3 linked regions of the Rattus norvegicus genome follow. The protein of the gene in region 1 purifies or fractionates together with the protein of each later gene. This does not show direct contact. Links are inferred from orthologs where the notes say so. Each region holds a gene or a part of one and is shown on either strand. Other genes may lie near its edges.

Region 1 (6,010 bases):
CTCTACAGATGTGGGAGATGAATCACATATGTATCTTTCCTGAGGACATTTCTCCTCCAGGAATTAGACCAGCCACAAGAACAAGTCTTAAGATACAAACGGATCGAATCTAAGGACTTACACAAATGTATACCACATTTGAATGTCCGATGAGGTCTGGGAGGTGGCTCAGTAGAAAAAGTACTTGCTTTATAAGCAAGAGGACCTAAGTTTGGACCCTTGGCATCCATGTTAAAAAGCCAAGTGTGGCACCATGCATCTATCTATCCGTAAGCAGTGCTGAGGTATGGAAACAGGAGATGCTTTGGTGCTCTCTGACCAGCAAGCTTACTCAGGCAGCAAGTGCCAGGTCAGCGAGAGACCTTGTCTCAAAAATGAGGTGGAGGGCAACAGAGGAAGAGACCCAATGTTGATGTGTAGTCTTCTCACTCACACATATAGGTGAGCACACTTACATACATACATACATCATTCACTAGAAAGGCAACTTAACATTCAATTTCTTTAAAGCTGAAGAGTCTAAACTTACCCTCTCACTTTTCACAGACCCAGTGACGTCATCGTCATTTAGGTGGCGCTTGAACTTGGGAGGCATACTTTCTGCTCACAAATACTCTTGCTGTATTTCCCAACAGAATAAGTATCCACCACCTTAAGAAAAAAAATTCATCATATGAGGAACTTTGGGGTATAGGGCTAAAGTGCCAAGGACTGTACAATAAGATCTCCTCACTCGTGACTTTATCTACCTACTCTTGCTCCACTCCACTGACTACAGTCTATATGCTAAGTCTTAGACTGAAGAAGTAGTTAAAGCCATCATAAAAATGGATGTTCTTTTCCTAAGGAAACGTGTTGAGAACATGGTGAATTGGAGATTTTATATCATGAAAGAGCAGATACTGTCAAAGAGGGAGAAAATGGGAATAGTCCCTAAATCCTGAAAGAGCTTTGTGATTCTCACTTGGAGTGAGAAAACAGTGGCATACTTCTTGTCACTGCACTTTTAATTAGTTGCTTAAGAAATGATTCAGTTCCTCATCTGTAAAATAGTGATTTCCAGGATTCCGCATGAAGTTAGTTGGTCACATGAGATAACACATACAAAAACACTTATAAACTCTGCTCCGTTGGCACTCCGTGAGAATGGCTAGTTTGTAAGTACTAATGTGACGATCTGGGAATGGCAATTCTCTCTCATGTTTGTGTGTGTGCATATGTGTATATACATACATACATGTTTATATATGCATATCTGCTGACTCACTACACATATGTACACGTATTCAAATGTATGTACATGTACATGTTTTCTCTCTCTGTGGCCTTCTTTTTCTCCTAACATGTAGATCCTAAAAGCCCCATACCCATGGGAGATAAACGTGAGTTTTTATACTAATGGGATTGACAGGTGTCTCCCAGTCTATAAGCAGCTTCAGAATGGAGGATATCACTGGAAAAAACCAAGTCAGGATTAAAAGGCTGAGCTATTTCATTCCACACCACTCCAACCTCTGGAGAAGGTAGAGGGCTAAAGGCTGACATGATTCTGGACAGCTGCTGTTATAATCTACGAGTGCCCTGCCTCCCCCCCGCCCCCCACAAAAGCCAAGTGGTCAGGGCCCCAGGGGGCTTTGAGGTATAAACACATGACTTTCCTAGAGATGGACACCTGGAGGGACCAGGATAGCTCTGGGTGTCTCCTATACTTTTCCATCCATCCCATCTGATCGTTAATCTGCACCCTTTATAACAGTCTTTAAAATAAACTGGCAAACGTAAGCAAAGCATCTGCATTCTGCAAGCCACTCTAGCAAATTAACTGAAACCAACAAAGGGACAGTGGCCATCTCAACTTACAGCCAACCAGGTACAAAAACTCAGAAGTACACTCACTCCCTTAAATCTCACGTATGCATCTTCTGTAGGACGCTTTTTATTCAGTGGTCGCTAAAGAAGGGGACAGTTGTGGCTACTTCCTAGAAGACAGTGGTAGAAACCACCTAAGAGGACTTTCGACTAGTGTCTAGTAGAGGATCTCCTGCAAAATCGCTTGCTTTCTGAGGGAAAACACCCTCCTTGCTTTCTGGGTTCACAGACATTTTTTCTGAGAGAAGATGTGCTTTTTCATATATAAAAACAAGGATGTTAAATGAACCTGGGTTCCTTTGCTGTGGAAGCACCTCACAGACTTTTGGATGTTAATGTGCACTGTGATTTTTGAAGGAAATACTTGAGTACGCAAAATAACCATTTTTTCCCAGGGAAGTAGCTGTCATGCAAATACACATTTCCAGTATGGTGGCTAAGTAAAAGTCCTGAGTATGTGCTAATATGCATCTTCAGTAACAGCATTTTTAGCATGCACTTTTTTTTTTTAAATGCTTGACACTTCTTTCAGGTAAGCATTAAGAAAGTTTAGTAAGATAACTGTTATATCACATCACTCAAACAGATCAATAAGTGGCTATGCCTTATCAGCATTAATATCCATTCATTTAGTTACCATCATGGTCTAGAACTCTGTTCTAGAAAGACATTTATAACAGCCTACCATCTTCTATTAAAAAAAAAACAGATCTTTAAATAATTTAGATATGAGTTTATTGATTGTTAGGCACTAAGAGAAACCGGAATCAAAAGTAATACCAGTGAAATCAGCTTCCTGTTATCTGTTTCCAAACAGCTTCACTTATAACTGCTATCCTTCCATGCTGGAGTGACAGCTCTGGGGGTCTTTATTCTATATTACTTCTGTTACAATCATCTGACCCATCTTACTCCTTACATCTTAATCTCAGAATAAATCTCATGCAGAAATGTTACGGAATGCACTGAGGGAAAAAGCTGATAAAGCAAGAATTGAAGAAAGTGAGATTTCTAACTGTATCTGGGCTTTATATTTTTATCCTCCACAGCCACAAGGAAACAACTGGCTGGTAAGAACAGGTATTCCGACTGATCTTAGCCAACAGGAAAGTGGGATCAAGCAAGTTCACATAATGTCTTTTACAAGGTATAACACTAAACTTTAATGGGGGGGGGGGGTAAACCTCTTAATCAGGTTCTAAAATCCAAGCTATCAGTCTAAGAAAGGAAGCAAACTCAGGCCAGACGAATAAACAAGCCACCAGCATAAGAGCAGACAGATAAACGAGCTACCTTTGATAAACTACCTCAACTAATGATATTTATAGATTAAAAATAAGCGGAAATAAACTGCTCACATATTAGAGTTGACTACATTCTGCCTACAGTTCCTCCTACCAAAAATATTCTTGTCGTTTAACGTGTCTACGTAGTAAGAGTCATCGTGATGTCTTTCCACTTCGTGGATGGATCACTACCCGGTTCACTGAAGTGTCAACATCGCAAGACTCTTACGTGTACTTCCCTGCTCGCTTAAATTTCACGTATGCATCTTCTGTAGTACGTTCTCTATTCAGTGGCTTTACACGTAATACGCGTCTAACCTGTTGTTTAGTCTACGTTGGTTTTTTTTTTGTTTTGTTTTGTTTTTGTTTTTTTACTTCAAAACAAGCTCTGTGTATTTCATTTCCCTAAAAAGCTCAAATCTGGCTGGGCACGGCTTTCCTTTGCTCAGCCTCCATTCTCTTGCTGGTTCTCCCTCATTTCTCATCTGCAATCTTGGCTGGTGACAGTTCCACGCAAATCGTGCCTGGAAATCTTACTCGCAAAACCTGTTACGTGTAAGGATTCACCTCTACCCACGGGTCATTCTAAGCACAGCGGGGTTGCGCGCTTTCTCCGAACCCCTGAGGAAGGACCTCAGGGAGCTTCCCGGCCAGTTCTTCGGCTCCCTTCCCCGCCGCCGCCCCAGGCCCCGCACCGCGACATCCGCTCAGAACTCTGGCCCCCCACTCCCGGTACAGGTGCCCCCTCGGGAACAGCTCTTCCCCTGGAGGGTAACTCGATCCCAAAGCTCCCCGGCCACCCCAGCCGCTCCCCAGTCCTCGCGCCCCTTCCTCAGGGTACCCCGGGCCCCAGCCTTCCCCACTCGCGACCCGGCCCTCGCGCAGGCCAGCTCCCAGCCCCAGCGGACGTTGGGGGCGGTAGGCAGGGGCGTCGCCTGGCTTCCTTCCTCCTCACGCGCGCCGGGGCGGGATACCTGAGGTCTCCGAAGAGCTCCGGGCAGCAGTCCCTGCTGGCAGCGCAGGGCGGGCGGGGGAGGGAGCGGGAAGCTGAGGAAGGAGGGTGGGAGGGGGAAGGCCGAGGGCACAGACCCGCCACCGCTCCGCTCTGCTGCAGCGCCCCCGCTCATCGAGCGACTCGGCGCTCCACCGCCTGGCGCTGGGCAGAGGGGGTGGGCTCAGGCCGGGGAGATCGAACCGCTCGGTACTCCGAGGCCTGGGGAGGGCGCACGGGAGCAAGCTCTGGCAACCGAGATCGAGCCTTTCGACGCTCCGGGTCTTGTCCTCTGGCGGAGGGGACAAGTTCAGACAATGGAGACACTGAGCAGGTCGATCACTTCGGCCTCTCTTCTATCCTGGAGAATCCCCAGTGGTTGTGACGTTCAGATCCGATGGAGGAGTACGTGGGCTGTACAGGAGATGAGTAGGGCACATTGAAAGGTCTCTCAGAGCCCGGCCCTGAAAGGGTGACTAGGATGTAGGCGCCTTAGAGGGTGCTGTTTTGTGCGCAGTCTGAGGGAGCTGAGTCAAAGGGGACGCGTGTGATGAAGTATCTGTCTGATACGTTTAGAAAATTGGTGGGGTTACTCAGTTTCATTTCCTTTGGAAGGATCCAGACATAGGGATTCAGGCGGGAAACCACCCCTTACACTGCAATTCCACCATCCCCTCATTCTCCACTTGGCTAGATGCTAGACTTATTCCAAAAATGTAGACTTTTGTATTTGTTTTCTCTCTTTATTTATCTCCTTACATGTCTTTTAAACTTAATGGTTATGAGTCCTTTGTTAATAATTTTTTAACTGTGGGAAAATATATTTTATAGTATTTTATAGACACAAAAATAAAAGATGTTCAGGGACAAGAAAATAAACAGGAGGAGGACCATTCCAGGGGAAACCCCTCTATCACCCGGTCTATAGTGCAGGGTTGATGTTAGGCTCACTGGTTGAGAGTCGGCTCCTACACAACTTGGCAGACTTAGCTGAAGTGGTCTGCCCAGAATGGAAGTGTCTTAGTCTGTGTCTGTGGCAGGTCATGGTGGTGAGACTACAGAGTCCTCAGACAGCCCAGGCGCGCTTTTCTGTTTGTTGGTTGGTTCGTTTTTATTCGCCTGATGTTTTTAAAATTTTATTATTTTACGTATGTGAGTGGTGTTGGCTACATGCATATATGTGCACCACATGTATGCCTGGTGCTCTTAAAGATCAGTGAGGGCTTCAGATCCCTTGGGACTGTAGTTAGTGACTGTTCCAAGCTGCCATGTGGGTGCTGGGAATTGAACCTGGGTCCTTAACAAAAGCAATAAGTGTGTTTACTCACTGAGCTGTCCTACCAGCCCTTTCAGTTGATGTTTTTATCTGTATATCTGCTTCCTATGTCGGACTCCCTTACTTTGTCCCCATAGCTAGTTAATGCCCCTGTAAAAAACATAAGGAAATATGATCATGGAGCTATGATAGAGATGTTCTTTAGCTTTTATGAGTAATCTATTATTTTTCTTTGTTTTAGTCATAATGCCATGATTTGGCTAATTATTTTGATTGCTTTTGGGCCAGGAACGTATGCCCCTAACTCTTCTTTATTAATCTGGAAAGTCTCTGTGTGAAAACTTAGGAAATGTGATTTTTTTTTTTTATAAACTTGAGTATTTCTTATATACATTTCAAGTGTTATTCCCTTTCCCGGTTTCCGGGCAAACATCCCCCTCCCCCCTCCCCTTCCTTATGGGTGTTCCCCTCCCCATCCTCCCCCCATTGCCACCCTCCCCCCAACAGTCTAGTTCACTGGGGGCTCAGTCTTAGCAGGACCCAGGGCTTCCCCTTCCACTGGTGCTCTTACTAGGATATTCATTGCTA
Region 2 (5,983 bases), on another chromosome or scaffold:
CCTTGTCCTGAAGCTTCACTCTCTGTCTCCCCCTTTCCTCCCTGTTCTGGCTACTTGCAATAATCTGCACCCCATTCCTTAGCCCCTGGTTAAAGGCTATTTAAATCCAAAAAGAGTCTTTTCTCAAGAGTAAATTCAGTCTGTTCTTGGCTTCTTTCAAAGCTGCAATAAATACTTTCCCCCATGGGCTCAGAAGTCTCAGCTAGAGTCTACACTACTCTTGCAGAGGACCTCAACCAGGACACCTAGCACCTGTGACTCCACTGAGGCCAGATCTGGTGCCCTCTTCTGGTCCACATGGGCACCTGCACTTACATGTCCATTCCTCTACCCCATAAACATAATTAAAATAAAATAAGGAGCTGGAGAGTTGACTCAGCAGTTAAGAACACTGGCTTCTTTCCCAAAGGACCCAGCTTTGATTCCTAGCACTCACATGGGACTCACACCTGTCTGTAACTCTAGTCCCAGTGGATCTGATGCTCTTTTCTGGCCTCCTTGGGCACTGGTTCACAGACGTTCACTGCAAGCAAAACACCCATACAGAGGTTTTTGGTTTTTTTTTAAATCTTTAAAAAAAAAAAAAGTAACCTTTCTCCCAAACTTTGATACACTTTTCCAATTCCCTCCTTACTGTTTTAGCAAGAATTCAGGTATGGGCTAGAGAGACCACTCAGTGGTTAGGATCATGGGCTGTTCTTCCAGGACCAGGGTTCAATCCCAGCACCTGCATGGCAGGGCAAAACACTAATGCACATAAAATAAATTACTTAAAAAAAATCAGTTACAGATCTTCTGTGTCTTTGCACTGACCAGCTCACCAGAATATTTGTGTCTTTGCACTGACCAGCTCACCAGATTTTTTTTTTTTTTTTTTTGCAGTCACCAGGGGTCACTTATCAGTAATATTTGTCCATCTCTACAGACAGTGCTGGCTCTGATAAAGAAAACGCTGGCTTTCAATGAGAGCAGCATAGTACAACGGAGAGTCAAGAACTAAGGCCCGGCCGGAGTGCTTAAACCTTTACTCAGTAATCGTTCCGTATCACATCCTTGCTACTGTAAAGCTTTCAGGCATTACAAAAAAAATTGATTTCCCCCCCTAAAATCTAATTCCTTGCCTTTTCACAACACCCCAAACACGATCCCCCAACCACAGCATTTTTCTCCCAATGTTTACCATGACAGTCACAAGAAAAGCGCGAGCACAGCAGGAAGGCCCCTCCAGAATTAACAAGGTTTCTCCCTTGATGTTCTACTTCCCTCCCATCCTGGTCTTAAACCTTTGAGAGTTCTACTTTAGTGGGGGGGAAAGAGGGAGAGGGAGGGGGAGAGAGGGAGAGGGAGAGGGAGGGGGAGAGAGGGAGAGGGAGAGGGAGAGGGGAGAGGGGAGAGGGAGAGGGAGAGGGAGAGGGAGAGGGAGAGGGAGAGGGAGAGGGAGAGGGAGAGGGAGAGGGAGAGGGAGAGGGAGAGAGAGAGAGAGAGAGAGAGAGACCCTTACTCATACTCCTACCGAGTTAGACTCATTTGGTCTCTGAATATGGAGCTGTTACACCCACACCAATTCCCTAGGCTCGGGAATCCTGGGGGCGGTGGTGCCTGGCCAGACTTTTACCACTATCCCCACTGCCTCTCAGGCGCTACCAAGTCAGCGTCTCACTGTCCCTGAGTAACAAGTCAAGGTTGCTCTAGGCCTCACCATTGAAGCCGATCACAGCCTGAAGCTCCAGTTCGGCTACGTCGGTCTCGGGTAAAATTTGTTCTTCCATCCTGGAGAGTTTCAGCTGGTTGATTCCTCAACTCCAGGGTGCAGCGTCTCCTAGTCGTTATGGTAACTGGAGCACGCATGCGTGCTAGGTTTACGCCAGAGCAGAAACCCAGCCCACTGAGTTTAAGTTGATTTTCCCCTCTTGCAAATGTAGGGAGGACTTCCTTATTATGTATTTTATTCATTCTGGAAATGTAGGTGGTAGGTTGATACTGGGTACGCAAGGTAAATATCCTCCTCTCCGTGTAAAGGTCTGTGACTTTTTTTAAACTATAAAATTAAGCCCCTCATGATGATTATTAAAAATAATTGAACACAGAAAAACTGAGCACAGAGAATTGCCTGTGATGAATAGGTTGCTTAAAAAAAGCATGGAATTGCTACTTCCTTGTAAAGAAAAAAATTGTTTTAAAAGACACTAAAAACGTTTTAGTATAGTATGCAAGTGTGTGTGTGTGTGTGTGTGTGTGTGTGTGTGTGTGTGTGTGTATGTTGCCTCTATGTATATTTCCTGCGTCAGCCATCCAAGTGCTGGAATTCCGGGCTTGAGTTATCACACCCGGCTTGTTTTTGCTGTTTTGAATTAAGAAAAAAAGCATGCAGAGCCGGGGTTGAAGCGCTTCCATTCCCTGGAAAAATGGTTTGATTCTTTTCAGCAATGTAACCATTTTCCTTTCCTCCAGCAATTCATGTAAATTAACAAAAATCGATTCTTGCAACCCACTGTCCCCTAGGGGTGCGCTTTGGGGCGTAGTTCTGAGGTCAATAAAACAGGTTTCACTTTGCAAACTCTGGGCTCCGGTGGCGCACCCTCCAAACTGCGGAGAATGAGCCGCGCGGGCCGCCGTAGTCAGCTGCTACGAGCAGGAAGTGTCCCAGCTGCAGGCGGAGACTGCACCATGGCCCCAGACCCCTGGTGAGTTGCCGGTGATGGCGGTGATGGCAGCAGTGTATGGGGATTAACTTGGGGGGTGGAACTGGCTTCCAGGGACTGGCAGAAACCCTGGTCATCGTTGAGCTTGAGGCTGGCGGCTTTAGGGATGAGGATCGGGCGAGGATCCTCCTTGTTGAGGGGACTCAGCCATGTACTGCCTACTCGGTGCTAACTCTGTGGTCCCAGGGGAGACTCTGACCTGGGGGAGCTGGGACTTGAGTAATCGAGTAATTTGCCCCCTTTTTTATGGGGCTTCCTGCCTATCCTGCTTGTGGCTGACTGCATGCGTAGACTTCCCTGGGCTCCTGTAAAAGTGAAGTCGATATAACCTTTCGGTGGGATATTCCTTCACCCATTAATCCCCCTGCAGGAAGGGAATAAACTGAAGTTCACACTCCATGGTCACCAGTTAGTTAGTAGCTAGTTGGGCACGGGTGTTATGGGCTCTTCACAAAAAACTTGTAGGACTCTGAGAGGGAAATTTTGCACTTGTAATAAGCCCTTTCCTGCATCAGGAGCATGAAGACTTATGTGAGTAAGAAGTGGTGTAGAAAATACCTAATAGGGATCATTTATTTAGCAAAGAAGCCCCAAGGAGAGAATGATGAAAAAATATCTATACAAGGAACAAATTGCTATAAAGTCATGACCTTCCTGATTAACAATTTATTACACTGCATTTCTGTAAAGTCTGTGTTGGAGAATATGCCTTATGTTGGTGTTTCTGGTACAATTTATAATTGTTTGATGGCAGACAGTTTTGAATATGAAGAGAGTGGATCCCAAGGTCAGGCTCAGAGTTACCTGGAATCTAGGCTATTTGGGCCAGTAGCTGAATTGTTTGTTGTTTGTTTTTCAGTGTCTCAGTGAGTTTAGGTTGATCTTGAATTCCTGATCCTCTTGCCTCAGTCTCCGAAGTGGTGGCATTACAGGACTCTGCCACCATGCCCAGCCAATTGCTGAATTTTCCCATAAGGTTTTGACAATCGTATACACCCCTGATAGAAGTTTAGAGACTACTGAGTATCTGAAGGAAAAAAGATAGCACCTTCATCACTTGGAAACAATCAGTGCTCACTTTTTTTTCCAGTGCACTTATTGTTTGAATTTATATCCTGCTTGTATTTTACAAAACAGGAAGCATTTCTCCATGCCCTTAAGTAGTCTTAAAACCATGATTTTTAATGCACATCAGTGCATTGTCTGGGTGTGCATAACTTATTTCAAATTTGAGCTCAGTGGTAGAATAATTGTTTACCACATCCAAGACCCTGGGTATGGTCCCCAGCAGGACAAGAAAGCTTTCAGCTGTCAAATGAGAAAGCCACTGTGACAAACAAGACTAACAGCAAAAGAGTTGCTTGAGTGTCTTGGGTAAAATTCTCCTGATCTCATTAGATTCCCGTGCCACGCTCTGCAGAGAACTGATGTCCGCTATTTTGTACCTTCCATGTGGCAGAACATGCCAGGCATGTTTTCTTCTCTCATCTTTGCTTATGCCGTGTGCCTTCCACAGTGTTTAGATTTCGCTTCTCCTTCCTATAGGGAAATCTGCTTTAGACTTTTTTAGAAGTCAGCCCAAAGTGTCCTCTTGCGGCCCAGCCTGTTTGAGTGCCTCATCAGTGATCTCTTCCTTCCTGGGCTCTATAGACACTCAAGTTAGGTCCCTTTCCTAATTGATGGGACTTGGTTAGGGGTTTATATGTTTGATGTGCTGTCACAGAGCTGGACTGAAGCTCCTGTCTTCATAGGTGATGGTGTGGAGACAATAAGTATGGGGAAGTTGGGGCTAGGATCATTTTTCTTATTACTCTGCTATATTATTATTAGTCTTTTTAAACCACCTGCTTTTTTTCATAAGCCTATACCAGATTATACTGATTCATACTGGTTCATACTGATGTATACGTGAGTCTAGGCTTAGGGGGTGACATTGCCTCTGAAGTGCTTGTGGAGTTCACAACACAAAGTTCTCTGTATAGGACCTGGAGCCATAGCCCCAGCCCGAGCTACACACTTTGGTGACTGAGCCTAGTGCCTTGCATAAGCTAAACATTGATCTATGCCCTTACTCACCACCACCCCTTTCTTTTTGAAGTATGAGACTGATCACTAAGTTTTCCCCAAGCTGCTGAGGTTATAGGCTACTACTTCTAGTACTGGAATATTTTAGGGAAGTAAGTTACTTATCTTCTTATGGGTAGAACTGGGACATCCGGGCAAACAGCAGTTTTCAACATTTTGAAATGGACAGTCCTGGAAAATACATCATTCACATGAGCACAGGAGTCCCCGCTTGTAAGGAGCAGAGTGGCGTGCGAGATGAGACAGGAGATGAACATGCTGTGATAAGGAACACTCTGGGTGCTATTGGTGGTTGATTTGAAATTTTTTTCTAGAGATTTATTAATTTATTTTATGTATGTGAGTATACTGTCACTCTCTTCCAGAAGAGGGCATCGTATCACATTAAAGATAGTTGTGAGCCACCATTTGGTTGCTGGAAATTCAACTCAGGACCTCCAGAAGAGCAATCAGTGCTCTTAACTGCTGAGCCATCTCTCCAGCCCTGAATTTTAATTTTTAAAAGATTATTTATTTTAAGCATGTGGGTGTTTTGCCTGTATGCATGTCTGCACACCATGTGTTTGCCTGGTAACTTACAGAGGCTGGAAGAGGGTATGAGACAATTCTGAATTGCCACGTGGGACCTGAGAATTGAACCCAGGGCCACAGGAAGAGCAGCAGTGCTCTTAACCTCCGAGCTAGCCCCTCATTCAGCTCATTTGAATCTTTCCAAGCCCAACACTGTTGGGTGGCAGGTGGAAAGCCACTCAGTGTTCTGAGAGAACCGTGGCAGGGTTAGGAGTCTGCCAGGCTTCTTTGTCAGCTAGAGTGTTTTTGCTGCCTGCCCACAGTTCCTGCTGTCCCCGCAGCGTGCTTTTTGCACGTCACTTCTCATCTTGCCTCTGTGTCTCCTGCCCTGAAACAGCATCTCCTTGTCAGTGTGTTCCCTTAGACTAGGCTGGCCTCGAGCTCACAGAAATCCTCCTGCCTCTGCCTTTGCAAGGCTAGGATTGAAGGCACGTGACACCACACCTAGCCAGCACTTTCTTTTAAAGAACTTTAACGCGACTTTGACTTTGGTGCAGGTTCTCCACGTACGATTCTACTTGTCAGATTGCCCAAGAAATCGCTGAGAAGATTCAAGAACGAAATCAGTGTGAAAGAAGAGGTGAGAAGACACCTAAGGTAATGCAGGGAGGAATCCGCGTGCTGCT
Region 3 (5,956 bases), on another chromosome or scaffold:
CCAGTGTGCCGTGCTCCATTCGCATCCTAGTATGGTGAGACTGAAATGAGCGCCCTTCCTTCCCACTCTAGAGGAGGAAGAGGCAAGCTTACAGAGTCAACGAGTCTGTCCACAGCTACATGTATAGTAAGTTTAGGCAGAAGTGGGACCCTAAACAGGTCCAATACCAGCAGCCTGATCTTGATCGCTCTGTCAGGATACATTTTTGATACATTCTAACTGTAACCCTAATGGGATTCACAATTGACCGTGGGCAGATAAAGAAGTAATTGCAAAGTGAAACTCTGCTGAAGACCCTCCAAGATGCCCGCCTGCTGTGATGGAAGCTCCGATTTCTTCTGCTAAGACATTCACTCCCATCACAACAAAACTCAGGAAAGTAACGTGAGCTATAGTCTTGGCTCATCGATTTGCCTGACTTTCCCACAGAATAGTCATCTTTAAATTCAGTAACCACACTGTGTTAAGGGACTCACCCATCTGAAGATCACGGCCATTAAACTTAGTTAAGATTCAAACACTTCGGGGGGAGGGTTGGGAGGGGAACACCCATAAGGAATGGGAGGGGGGAGGGGGATGTTTGCCCGGATACCGGGAAAGGGAATAACACTCGAAATGTATATAAGAAATACTCAAGTTAATTAAAAAAAAAAAAAAGAATCAAACGCTTCAAGAGCAAAGTTTTTTTTAATTGATAAATTATTACAGAGTAATCAGTTTCTTTTTAAAATAAAGTTTCAGGACGTTCTTTTTTGTCTCTTCCCATTCTCTTTGGAAGTCTCCTGAGCATCTGCACAGGCACAGCAGGGAATGGCTCAACTCCACAGAGTCCCAGCACTGCAGCTTAAATAAGCTGTTACCTGGGGGAATGGGCTGCTTTGACTTTAAAATTTGCTCCAATTTTTTAATCTTTTTAGTTCAAATAAATTCCAGCTCCTCTCTAGGTCTTTTTCAGCTGAGTGACACAACCACTCTGATGCTGTGGGGTATTATACAGTAATTATTGTGTTAATTAATATAATTACTGGTAACTATATAATCCCACAGCAAGCACACTGCTTTTGTCATGCTTATACTGTTAATTCCTGTTAGTTCACAAATTCATGTAAAACTATCTTTTTCTATCAATTAGGAGCAGGCTAAAAAGGGAGCAAGCACATCAAGAGGAAAACCACTGTATTTTCAAGAGTCATTTAATTATTCAAATAAGCATACTTTTTTCCCACAGTGCCAACAATACAATCTCCTTTCAAATGAAAAAAAAAACGATTGCCCTGTGTGGGTCTCACATTACACTAAATATAAGGACAGGGATAACAGTATCTTTATTTTTTTTAAATAATTCAAATGTTTCCTTCTATGTGACAAGAATTTTAAACACAGAGGCAAGAAAACTCAATTGTAACAAAAATCTAGTTTATTAGAGTCTTCACAGCTTTGTACCCAGTCTCTCAGTACTATTTAAAAGAAAAAGAGAGAGAAAAAAAATGTTTCTTCTGCTAAAAAAGAAACAAACAAAAAACACATTAAAATTCAAAATAAGCAAAATCCAACTGCAACTGAACGTCTGAGGCTCTGGGACTCATTTCAAAGGCAAGATTCTCAGACAACAAGGGCAACAAAATCAAAATGGTCTTGGGCAATGGAGCCAAGTGGTATTGAAGAGAACAGGCAAGGTGAAGTATCATCAAGGCAGGAGGCCATCACCCACTTTGTAAAAATCTGTGAGGCAACACAGCTCGTGGTATGTGCTACCTAGGTTCTCTCCCCTTGCTTCCTTCCTTGAACTCATCAACCTCTTTTAGACATCATCAACCTCTTTCAGACATCATCCCCCTCCTTCAGAGCTAAGAGGGACTTGAGGAGGTTACTGGGATGGAGGTTCAGAGGCTGGGAGCAAAAATCCCTTGTAACAGAAGACAGGTGGGGTGGGGGCATGGGGACGAGGAAGAAAATCATTTATAAACATAAAGATTAAGGGAAATTCTGGACAGGGAATGAGGAGCAGCTTAGGTTCAAGAGAAGTTACTGCTGTCATCTTGGGTTGGGCTGATCAGGTAAGAAAGTGAAGATACCCACAATTCTGCAGACCAATGAGAATCATCTCTTCTAGACAGTATGTTCCAGAGCTGAAGTAGAGGCAAGTTCAGCAGCCCAATGATCACTCAATTTCCCTAATGAAACTGAGCCAAAAAATAAGTAAATAAAACTCATAATTTGTTACTAACTATTCAAGTTAAATCTGTACTTAAAGAAAAGCCCTAAAACACTACACAAGATATATTCCAAGTCACAGGATACACTGCAATCACCTGTTCACAAAAAAAAAAAAAAAAAAAAAAAGAAAGAAAGAAAAAAGAAAAAAATTCTGAGCCCTTAGAAAAGAAATGTTAAGAAAATCAGACAAGGCCCCCACCTTCACACTGTTGACAACCTAGCAAGGAGAGTGATACCTGGGTATGCTAATTTTAAAAGTGTGCAAAATTGCACTGTACCAAGTTTTATATAAAATTGGGTTATATATATATACCCAAGAAGGATGAGAAACACAGAATCAAGGCAGAGGTCTGAAAAATATGAATTCTAACAAGAGCTAACACACAGGGCTTCACAGATGTGTATTAGTTAATCTTGACAACAGCCCTAAGAGAGAGGTACGATTCTCTCGAACCAAGAAGGAAGTTTTGAAGGATAACGAAAACTTGCCTAGGAGACAACTTGTAAGTGGCAAGAGTTTGATTTGAATTCAGGCATCCTAGCTCGTCACTCTAGTGTGCCACGGATAAGGATAACAGTATTATTTACTAAAACCACAACTCTGCTGCATTTACTGATCCGTAATCTTGACACTTCATACAGTTCCTTTGAATACTCTTATATTTTACAAACGACAAAAAGAAAAGAAAAAAGAAAAAAATCAAGATGTAGAGCAATGTTTCCAAGGTCATACAAGCCTTTAAAAAGCGGTGGGGTAGGAAGTCGGCACCACCACCACCCCCCCCAAATGGTTTCCATGCAGAAGACACTTTGCATTTGAAGCACATTTGGTCCCTATCATAACCAACCAAGAACTCATTCCTCCCCGGCCGCCAGCACCGCCCACACCAGCCTCGCGCCCTGGAGACCAGCATTCCCAGGCAGCGTTCCGCGCCCCAGGCTCTCCAGGCCGCCCCCGCCCGGCCGGGCAGGGTACTCACCGGGAGGGAGTCGAGGGACCCTGGAAATCTTGCTGGTGATCTCAGCAGTGAGCACTGCGAAGTCCTGCTCGTACCCTTCGAAGTCGGCTGACATGGCAGCTCCGGAACGGCCGGCCGGAGCCGGGTTCTATCTCAGAGCAGGACTCACGAAGGGCGCCTGGCCTCGGCGCAGGGACCCAGGGAAGAAGTCTTTAACAGCTCAGCGGGAACCCGGGACAACTCCCAGCCCAGCCGCTTCCTGGTTGCTCTACACAGTCCCTGTCCTCCGGAAACTGCACTGCCTGCGCCTTTTCTTTTCCACTCAATCCTCGAACGTAAAGCTAAGGAAAAAGTTCACTTTCAATGACTCCCCTTTTTAAAAAAAAAAAGATAACTACGAAAACCAGCATGCTCTCGGGTATCACAGAAAACACTTCCCCGCACTGCACGTCTAGGGAAAGCTGGTGCTCCCCCAAGTTCTAAGTTGCAGGCGTAGGCTTTCCGAGGGAAGATTGACGCCGCGCACCTGCCGGAAGTGGCTCTGGCAGAGCTTGCGCGGAGGGCCTGAGCGGGAGTCTCACGCCCCTGCGTGAGCCAGACACGCGCCGGTAGGAGTTGCTCGCTCGGTTCTCGCCATCAGGTTTCGCATTCGGCTTACTCAGGACTGATGTGCTCATGACAGAGCTATAAAGAGGAGAAAATCTGTTCCGGTGAGCCCAGGCCGCTCCGGAAATGCGATGGCCGTGGAGCGGGCACCGGAGACCAGACTGAGGTGGGAGTCACCGCAGGGGGTGCAACCCTCTTGTTAACCTAATCCGGCCAGCATCCCCAAAATATGAAGCCCAGCCTCGCTTTATAAGACGTTTGTATCGTGAGTGAAGGTCCTAGAGCTCCCTTACTACTGCATGGGCGAGAAACTGAGGCAGGCACCGGGCGGGCGCATCGGCTGCGTGGAAATCCGTTACTCATACGTCATACCCACGTATCAGGTCTTTTCCCAGCTCATTTCACTCCATTCAGAACTCACATCTACAATTATTCCCCTGTGCGTGCCTTCTTCCCCTCTCCCTCCTCGCCCCCGGAGGGATTTTTTTTTCTTTCTTTCTCTTAAATCTACTTTGTGCTCGTTCTCGTGCACTGCTTCAGTCGTGATTTTTCGCATGCACACTTGCGGCTCTCTCGTTTTGCTCTCACCCTTGTACCTGTACCTTTAACCCCGATCGATTGCTAATGTTGGCGCTTGGGAGAACAACTTCCACTTGTTAATATGCAAAGAATTATGTGTGTAGAGCATGTCTCAGTTAAATCACAACTCTTTGGGAGGCAGTTTAGAATGTCCTAAAAGAAGTTTGGTGCCTTGGCTTCTATTCTGAGCCCAGCTGTTACTTGTGACCTTGGTCGATCTAATCACAGTCTCTCTAAGCCAGCTTCTGTTGTAGGAAGAATCGGATAAGTGATAATTAGATAAGACCCTGCTTCTCAGCTCCCTAAGCCTTTGTTCTCTCAGACGATCCACTAAGAAAGGGAGTTGTCAATCCTTTCTGGCAGTTTGAACAAAGGAGTAAAACTGTATATGTCCCGTTTACATGCACTTCAAGCTCGGACTATATTCTGGATAGATCCAAAGTAATTGTTTTTGTTCTCGGTCAGATGTGAACCCCCACACCGGTGTGCTTTTGACGCGCTGTTTCAATGCTTCTTGGAGTTAAAGAAATGGCATATGAACTTTTTAAATGGAATGTTACTATCTTGTTTTCTTTAGACTGTGTTTCAAACCAACCAAGATTCTCCTCCTCGAGATCTGGAGGCCACCAGTGAAAATGGCATACTCCATATCAACACCCCGTCATCCAAAGGCATGACAGACAGCTCAGGAACACGCGTGGACTTTTTGCACACAGAAATGTGTACACAGGAAAAGGAAATCTCTAGTTCTTTAGAAGAAAGAAGTCATTCTTCACCAAAATGAGCACGCTCTGCTCAGTAATCAAGTTTGAAAATCTTCAAGACTTAAGAAGACTGTGTCATTGGGGTCCCATAATAGCCCTGGGTGTTATAGCAATATGTTCCACAATGGCCATGATTGACTCTGTCTTGTGGTATTGGCCCTTACATACAACTGGAGGAAGTGTGAATTTCATCATGTTGATAAATTGGACTGTCATGATTCTTTATAATTACTTCAATGCCATGTTTGCTGGTCCTGGCTTCGTCCCCCGGGGCTGGAAACCGGTAAGAAAAAGATCCATTTTGGCAATGATCATTGCACAGTTTTATATTTAGTTTACCATTATAATTCCACCTTTTACCTAATCAGCCTTTGTCCTACAAAACACTGGTGTACTCCACTTACTGATGATGACTTATAGAACTTATGTCTATTTCAAAATAGTAATCTATGTTAGCTATTTCCAAATCAACTGAACACTTGTTCTTTGGAGGTTTGGGGGATAGTATTTAAAGGATGTGTGTGGTGGTCCATACCTTAATCTCCACACTGGGGAGGCAGAGGCTTGTCATCTTGTGAGTTAGACCCACCTGGCCAATGTAGCAAGTTTTCAGAGAAGAAGAAAGGGAGAACATGGCTCAGGCTGAGAACATGTTGGAACACATATCAAGAAAATGAAGAGCCTTGGGTGACTGAAAAAAAGGGGAGGGGGGGTAGCAACTAGCTGAGAATCATGGGAGCTGCTTGGCACCACAGGGATGTCTGGATGTTTTAGGCAAAGCAGCCCTATCAGAGGGCTTTCTGGGAGACTTGTTTATTTTGATAAGACAGA

The links. The genes of interacting proteins can lie anywhere in the genome.
Region 2: the proteins of Vamp4 (region 1) and Stx8 purify together in Homo sapiens (co-immunoprecipitation; 3 studies listed by BioGRID and IntAct, counting the BioPlex papers as one, with this or other methods). This does not show direct contact. The link is inferred for Rattus norvegicus from reciprocal best matches to the Homo sapiens genes VAMP4 and STX8.
Region 3: the proteins of Vamp4 (region 1) and Vti1a purify together in Homo sapiens (affinity purification with mass spectrometry; 4 studies listed by BioGRID and IntAct, counting the BioPlex papers as one, with this or other methods). This does not show direct contact. The link is inferred for Rattus norvegicus from reciprocal best matches to the Homo sapiens genes VAMP4 and VTI1A.

The regions. Positions count from the first base shown.
Region 1 is NC_086031.1:77,451,394-77,457,403, reverse strand, and holds the start of Vamp4 (vesicle-associated membrane protein 4), read right to left. Parts: upstream 4,085-6,010; 5' UTR 4,026-4,084; intron 3,855-4,025; exon of another isoform or gene 3,723-3,854; intron 652-3,722; 5' UTR 596-651; coding exon 530-595; intron 1-529. UniProt on the Homo sapiens protein: Involved in the pathway that functions to remove an inhibitor (probably synaptotagmin-4) of calcium-triggered exocytosis during the maturation of secretory granules.
Region 2 is NC_086028.1:53,152,027-53,158,009, forward strand, and holds the start of Stx8 (syntaxin-8), read left to right. Parts: upstream 1-2,667; coding exon 2,668-2,684; intron 2,685-5,854; coding exon 5,855-5,954; intron 5,955-5,983. Other genes in the region: Cfap52 (cilia- and flagella-associated protein 52), read right to left, coding at 1,700-1,769. UniProt on the Homo sapiens protein: Vesicle trafficking protein that functions in the early secretory pathway, possibly by mediating retrograde transport from cis-Golgi membranes to the ER.
Region 3 is NC_086019.1:264,359,234-264,365,189, reverse strand, and holds the start of Vti1a (vesicle transport through interaction with t-SNAREs homolog 1A), read right to left. Parts: upstream 3,317-5,956; 5' UTR 3,292-3,316; coding exon 3,198-3,291; intron 1-3,197. Other genes in the region: palmitoyltransferase ZDHHC6, read left to right, coding at 5,142-5,408. UniProt on the Homo sapiens protein: V-SNARE that mediates vesicle transport pathways through interactions with t-SNAREs on the target membrane. These interactions are proposed to mediate aspects of the specificity of vesicle trafficking and to promote fusion of the lipid bilayers.